Linked DNA regions of Rhinolophus ferrumequinum. Each later gene encodes a partner of the first gene's protein in a complex. Links are inferred from orthologs where the notes say so. Each region holds a gene or a part of one and is shown in the gene's direction. Other genes may lie near its edges.

Evidence for each region.
Region 2: GTF2F2 (region 1) and POLR2G share a complex: the UniProt entries of both Homo sapiens proteins name them as parts of the TBP-based Pol II pre-initiation complex. The link is inferred for Rhinolophus ferrumequinum from reciprocal best matches to the Homo sapiens genes GTF2F2 and POLR2G.

The regions. Positions count from the first base shown.
Region 1 is NC_046287.1:5,793,871-5,797,619, reverse strand, and holds the start of GTF2F2 (general transcription factor IIF subunit 2), read left to right. Parts: upstream 1-1,342; 5' UTR 1,343-1,517; coding exon 1,518-1,583; intron 1,584-3,749. UniProt on the Homo sapiens protein: TFIIF is a general transcription initiation factor that binds to RNA polymerase II and helps to recruit it to the initiation complex in collaboration with TFIIB.
Region 2 is NC_046294.1:8,066,485-8,070,233, reverse strand, and holds the start of POLR2G (DNA-directed RNA polymerase II subunit RPB7), read left to right. Parts: upstream 1-1,090; 5' UTR 1,091-1,215; coding exon 1,216-1,227; intron 1,228-1,348; coding exon 1,349-1,458; intron 1,459-2,719; coding exon 2,720-2,879; intron 2,880-3,459; coding exon 3,460-3,510; intron 3,511-3,614; coding exon 3,615-3,680; intron 3,681-3,749. UniProt on the Homo sapiens protein: Core component of RNA polymerase II (Pol II), a DNA-dependent RNA polymerase which synthesizes mRNA precursors and many functional non-coding RNAs using the four ribonucleoside triphosphates as substrates.

The DNA.
Region 1 (3,749 bases):
TTCGGTCCCCACATGGGCCACTGTGAGCGGCACCCTCCACAACTAGATTGAAACAACTACTTGACTTGGAGCTGACGGGTCCTGGAAAAACACACTTAAATAAAAATAAAAGTTAAAAGAAAAATGCAACCTTCCTTTTCAATGCATGCCTGGTCTTCCATCTTTCCTATTAGTTTTCCCAGCTGATTTCAGAGACAGGATGGCTTTTCCTTTACCCTCACAGACATGGAATCTCTTTAATTATGTGCATAGATCGGATGCGTGATTCAATATATTAGTTGCCATTCTTACAATATCTTACTATTTATTTCTCTTTGGTGAATGTTCATTGAGCCAAAGCCTATTGAAATCTGACAATAGATGTTGCTAGATGTTGTGGATGTCTAAGATGAAAAAAGCCCTATTTCTGCATAGGAGGAGCTTACAGTCTAGAAAGCAAAGGCAGCATGCAAACACGTATATTATAAAGAGTCATGGGAAGTGTCACACACTGTGATATGTGAAGCAAAGCGAACTTCCTCTGGGGGAGTTAATAAAAAGTCTCGTAGGAAGTGATATTTCTATTAGACTCGAAACCTAAGTAGGGGGGGTCAGGGGGTGGGGGAGAGTGAGGCTAAGTGAAGAATAGGGCCTGCGAGTAAAGAGGATCGAATGTGCAGAGGCCCTGAAATAACTGAGTTAGATTCTGACATGTTTGGGGCGGTCTGATGGGTTCAGTGCGGTTGGATGTGGGGCGGGTGCATTGACTGGCAGGGATCAAATTGAGAGGGCCCGTGTAGAGAGAATTGAATTTTATTCTAGAAGCAAGAATACTGTTTAAGCAGGAGAGTTTAACAACCAGGTTTCCCTCTTTCACGTCCACTGTCACTGACTAAATTACAGGGACCCTGGGTTTTGGAGACCGAAGGGGTGTGCTCGGTTTGCTTAATCAGAGGTGCTCAGGGCAGCCTCTCAGTTGAGACACTGCCTTTTTTTTTTTTTTTTAAGCTTTAGAAACAGCATGTTTTCAGTATCTCCAGAGCTACTCGGTCCAACCCGTGCCCACATTCACTTACTCTGTTTATTATCCCAACACTCTCCTCCTAATGCTGCCTCTCCTCGGCCACGGTTGGACATATACTGACAGCCTTTGTCTCTTTGAACCCCATTTTTCTGTGTCGACACTTTCTTCAGTTCTGCTGCCCTAGTCTTTTAACGTATTGCTGACGTTTTGGCCCAGGGCATCCCACGTTTTAATCACTCGGACGCCGTCGGCACCAGTAGCCACGCCCACTCCCCACAGCGGCCGAAGCAGGAAGTTTGTCTGCGCCCGCGCGCCGTAGTGACGGTGGCAGCGCGCAGGCGCAGTTGCGGGCTGCCGGCGGCGTGTTCCTCTTTCCGGGGGTTCCCAGCTTCCTGGCCCGAGGACGCCGGCACTTTCCCGGGGGCCTCCCGCCGCGGCTCGCCCCGGGCTCCGGACGCTCTCCAGCTCCCGAAGCCGCTGCTCTGGGTCGCACGCCTCCTCTGGCGACAGACCCATGGCCGAGCGTGGGGACCTGGACCTGACCGGCGCCAAACAGAACACCGGAGTTTGGCTGGTCAAGGTACTGTCCGCGCGACTCCCGCTTGCGCTCCTCCTCGTACTTTATGTTGTCAGTAGTTTCAGCGAGTCGAGACGGTCCCACGCCGGCCGTTCACCTTTTAAAGTTCTCCACGGTCATCTCCTTAGAGCTTCCCGTGTCTTGAGAGGCAGGACTCATTGTTGCGCTCGTTTGCAGACGAGGCAATTAGGGACCCACAGTGTCTGTCCTTCAGCCAATTAGGAGTCCGAACCTGCCGGGAACGGGTCTCCATTCCCCACGACCTGGTTTTCCCGGGGCCCGGTCTCGGTGTCCCCGATTCGCGCGGTGCATTTTACCCCAGACTGAAGAATTTCTGCGTCTTCTCCTGGTGAAACTGGTCATCATCGTGAACCTGTACAGGAAGCGGAGCATGTCTGCTGCTGCTGCCTGTGCCATTTTCTCGGCCAGAAAGGAACACTGATCTCCGCGTACCCTTAAAAAGTGTCCTCTTAGGGTGATGGCCCTTCAGGGAGTTCTCGGGCGAGCGGAGCGTGCTGAGCTCACGCCGCGGGGCCGGAGAGTTCCTTCAGAGCACGACGGGGCTCCTGAAACTGACCGTCAGAACGGTGTTTTGTAAAGACACCAGATCTTGATCAGCCCTTAGCCCAGCTTTACTTTTTCATATTGGGGAGTGTTGTCTCTTAGGAGAGTTTCATAAGATACATAATCAGATGTGATTATGAATCTTTGAACTTAAAGGAAAATGTAGGGACCTTTGGTTAGTTAAATTTTTAAAAACTTTTTTTTTTATCACATGGCTGAATTCTCATGAATTGACTCTGAGGGGCCCTCCCTGTCCACCTCTTTAAAATAGCTCATGTCATTCGCTAGCACGCCAAACCTGTGTTATATAGTCTGCAAAGCGCTTTTCAGTGTGAAGTCCTGCTGTGGTGATGTGTTCAGTGTCGGTTACCTCCCTCTCCCCAGCGCGGGCATGCACAATCACATCCCGTGAGAGTAGGATCTTTGCCTGTCACACCCAGAATTGTGTTTGGCACCTGGTAATTGCTCAACAGATAATGTGATGAATGAAGCATCTCTTACTCTTCAACCCAGCCTTAGTCGCTGGCACTCGTTTGACTTGTCACAGCTATATCAGTATGCCTTAAAAAGATGGAGTAAATGAGCGTTTCTCTCTCCTACTGCATGCTAAGTGGAGGAGAATCATTAAGGAGAACTGCCTTGCAGACTGAAAGAGCTTGAAAATATGGTGGAACTTTGGAACTTGAGGTGATGCACTTATGATTGGAGCACAGTAAACGCTCCATAAATGTTTACCTTCCAGGATTCGGATGGGTGGACAGAGCCATAGCGTAGTGTACCATGGAGAGTGGAACAGAAACGCAAGACTGAAAATGCATGTTAACATGGTGTGTCCTGGGAAACAAAGAGGAGATTATTATGTATTATGCCTAGAGCAGAGAGTCTGCGTAAAAAAGGGGGGACCACATACTCATATTGCTGTATTGTGAAATGGGGCTGTCTTTAGTCTCTAGGAAGTGAGGACCCTTTTGGAGGGTTTTGAATAATGCAGCGGTGCAAATGATTATTTCAGGAAGAAAAAGTTTGAGGGGAATCTAACCAGAGTCAAAATTAGAAAATTATCACAGGATCACTGGTTTGTGATAATGAAGTCTGAGGAGTTAGGGAAATGTTTTTAGTAAGTTGTTAAGACTTGGTGATTGACTAAATGTGAAGGTGAAAGAATGTAATGAATCTCAAATGAAGTTCACAAGTTTTAGTGATCTCTCATGTATGGCTATTTGAATATATTTTATCTCTAAAAAGAACTCAACTGTTCTTGTTTTACAAAGATAGTTGTCATGTTTCGTTATTTATTGTTTGCAATATCATTGTTTCCTGGTATCAACTTGGCTGTAGTATTTCTGTTTCTAATCTTATGTGTCAGAATCACAGGTTTGCAAACCTTTCCAGGGTGTGAAAGGACTTTCTTGTCTGTTCTTGTCCAATGACAGCCTTATCTCTGAAAGAGGACGAGAATTGCTAGCAAATACTTTCTGTTCCAAAATCCATTCTTGTTCCACCTTTATTTGACAACTTTTATTTCTGCTCTAGTTAAAGGAGTCTTAGTAGGCAGTGGGGTTTGATTTGCACAGCTGTCAGATGGTTTGAACTTGTTTCCTTTGC
Region 2 (3,749 bases), on another chromosome or scaffold:
ATACACATATCTAAATGAATGAGTCCAAATATGACTAAGTTCAAGGAAGAAAATGAAACAAGGCAATACAATAAAGGAATGACTGGGGTGTGGCTACTTGAGTCAGGGTAGTCATGGAAGGCTTCTTGGTGGTGGTGATACTGAGCTTATACCTGAAGGATGAGGAGCCCCCTTCCGCCCCCAGCAGGTGGGTATCAGAGCTAAGAGCATTTTAGGCAGGAGAAATAGTAAGTGTGTAGGTCCTGAGGTGGGAGAGGAGGGCAATGTGGCTGGAGTGGAGAAAGCAAAAGGAAGAGAGGCAGAAAAAGGAGTTGGCTGGATCTGGTCCCTGCCTGGTAGGTCACAGTGATTTTATTCTAGTGCTCTGGGTAGCCATTGGGTTCTAAGTCGGGGGGTGACATGATTTGATTTCAGTTTTGAAACCATCACTCTTGGCAAATATGCACATGAAAAGATGTTCAACGTCATTAGTCATTACGGAAATGAAAACTAAAACCACAATGAGATACTACTACACAGTCATTAGGATAGTTAAATAAACAAAAACAAATAAACAAATGAACAAACTGCTGACAATACCAAGGGCTAGTGAGGATATCAGAGCAACTGGAACTCTTATACCTACATATACAATTATATAATATTTACACCACACAGACAAAATAGGTATAAATAACCTCAAGAGTATTGACAATGGCAAACTGTAGTAAAATGATTAGGAAGTGATCAGTTTTAAGTATTTATTACTAAGAATTCTGACTCCAATTACAAGGTGCTCCCCGCCACCCCCAACCCCTCCATCCAAGCAATTCTGACACCAGCTGGGTGTCCTACAATTTAACTCAATTTTGATACCATCTACCTGGAGTGGTAAATGAATGCACTCTGCTAAAGAGCTTTATTTATGCCACCTTTCATTAATTAATTAATTCCGTTTAAAAGTACTTATTGAGCATGTATTCTGGGCCAGGGACTGTTAATTTAAGAGAGCGGATTTTGATCGCTGGTGGACGGGGTGGAGGGCCGAGCTTCCTGGATTCCCCGCCCACCACAGTGAGGCCCAATCGGGTCCGTGGAAAGGGCGGAGTCCCGCCCTCTTAGCTCCCTCTGGTGGGGAAGCGGGGTTGCAGCGAAAGATTGTGTTTCCGGTTGAGCTGGAGATACCGCTTCCCGCGAAGGTGTGGACTCGGCTGCTCTCCTTCCTTCTCCGGGAAGATGTTCTACCATGTGAGCAGGGCACGGGGTGGCGGCGAGGGCAGGGTCGAGAGAGGACGAAGCGGGGCGCCGGGAAGAGTTGCCGCATCTTCCTGTTGCGCCTTGCCCGGTCTCCATGCCACTTTCCCCACAGATATCCCTGGAGCACGAGATCCTGCTGCACCCGCGCTACTTCGGCCCCAACCTGCTCAACACGGTGAAACAGAAGCTCTTTACGGAGGTAGAGGGGACCTGCACCGGCAAGTGAGTGCCGTGCTCTCTGTTCCACCTGATCTATGCATACAAGGCAACCCCTTCCCAACTCCTACTCATTCTGCAAGGTCCTGCCAATTACTCTGGGGAACCCTCTCACACACTCGTAGGCGCCCCAAGCAGTCTGTTGCTTCCTGTTTTGGGTTCCCATGGCGCCCTCTGCAAAGCTGGATCTCAAGATTTACTTCCCTCAGCTTAGATTGGTCATTCACTTACTCTGCACACGTTTCTAAAGCTCCTGCTGTGTGCCAGGGCCTGTGTTGGGCCCTGGGAACGATATAGAATGAGGCCAGCCGTCATGGAGCCCACAGTCCAATCATTGTTCCTGTGTCTGCTCTGTCTGTGATTCTCCTGGTTTTCTCTATCTCCATGCCCAGGGACTGGCATGACACATCTCTGGGCTACGCACAGAGGTCGCTCACACTGGTGTTAATGAGCTGGGATGAGACCAGGGCTGCAGACTACTTGGGCCGCCATCATCAGAATAACCTGTGGTATCTCTTGAACGTGAAATTTCCTGAGGCTCATCCCCTCCCCGCAGAATCAGGACTCTGGGGACGGGCCTGGGAATCTGCATTTTAATAAGTTCTTCCCAGGTGATTCTGAGGATCTCAAAGACTGAGGTCTCTTAGCTCAAGGACTGCAGCCTTATTGAACATGTATTGTGAAATTAGGAGAGCAGTGTTGGGCGTTATATATACTGATCATCCTGTCTTCCTTCTTGGTCGTTAGGCTCTCTAGCGTCAGGGATGCCATCTGCTTCCTCTTTGTACTGGCCCGCGACCCCCAGGTTCACTGAGTCTTGTTGCAGATGGCTTTATTTATTTATTTACTTATTTTTTATTGGGGAATAGTATGTACTTCCGAGACTTTTCCAAGTCAAGTTGTCCTTTGAATCTTAGTGGTGGAGGGCGCAGCTCACACAGGTCCGGTTGCTGTTGTTAGTTGCAGGGGGCGCAGCCCACCATCCCTTGCGGGAGTCGAGGAGTCAAACCAGTAACCTTGTGGTTGAGAGCCCGCGCTCCAACCACCTGAGCCATCTGGCCACCCGGGAGCTGAGCGGCAGCTCATTGACTTCATTCTAGTTGCGGAGGGCGCAGCTCGCTGGCCCGTGTGGGAATCCAACCGGCTGCCCCGTTGCCCAGAGCTCGCGCTCTAACCAACTGAGCTGCCCTCCCCCCCAGGCTGCCCCTGCAGATGGTTTTAGAAGCTCTTCCACATACAGTCCCTTTTGTTCTCATCCTCCTCACAGGTATGGCTTTGTAATTGCTGTCACCACCATTGACAATATTGGTGCTGGTGTGATCCAGCCAGGCCGAGGTTTTGTCCTTTATCCAGTGAAGTACAAGGCCATTGTTTTCCGGCCCTTTAAGGGGGAAGTCGTGGACGCTGTTGTCACTCAGGTCAACAAGGTGAGACAACAGATAGAGGAGGCAGGGGGGTGATCTCTCAGAAGATGGGGGATAGGTCCCAACTCCACTTGCTAAGTCTATGTCCTTTGGCTAAGTCATTTTTTTGTGCTTCAGTTCCCTCACCTGTCAAAAGGTGTAATAATTTCGCCCTGCCTCACTCAGGGCATGTAAGTCCATATTAATAGTCATAACAATAGTAGCCTCTGTTGATTGAGTAGTTATTGCAGGCCAGGTCATGTATAAAGCCTTACAGCGACTCTATAAGGTGGGTGCTTTTATCCTTTTTTGTAGAAGCTTAAACTGAGAGAAGTTAAGTCTAGTGGCCGGTGTCACATGACCAACAAGTGTTCAAATCCTGGACTGACAGGATTTGACAGGAGTCCCAGGTCTCAGCTCTTTACTACTTCACCATATTTGCTAAACTTAAAATGAAACTTGAAAAATGGGAAATGAAAACAAATGCTATAATTCAGAGTGGTTTCAAACATGGAGAAAATAATTAGAAATCAGATACAGGTGGGAAGCTTAGAAGACTTTGGGTAACAAAAGAAAGAGCAAGGGTCACTCATTTTCCTTCTAGGTTGGACTCTTCACAGAAATTGGACCTATGTCCTGCTTCATCTCTCGACATGTAAGTCTGGGCATTGTGGGTGGGGCCAAGGAGAGACACTCATTCCTGACCATCTACTGGAGCATCCATTTAAAGTGCTGACCCATTATCATTTTCCTTTCAAGTCCATCCCATCAGAGATGGAGTTTGATCCTAACTCCAACCCACCATGTTACAAGACAGTGGATGAGGTGAGTGGGTAGGAAGAAGTCAGTGAGAGGGAGGAGGGAACTAGCTGCTCTGAGGGAGAATATTGGCTG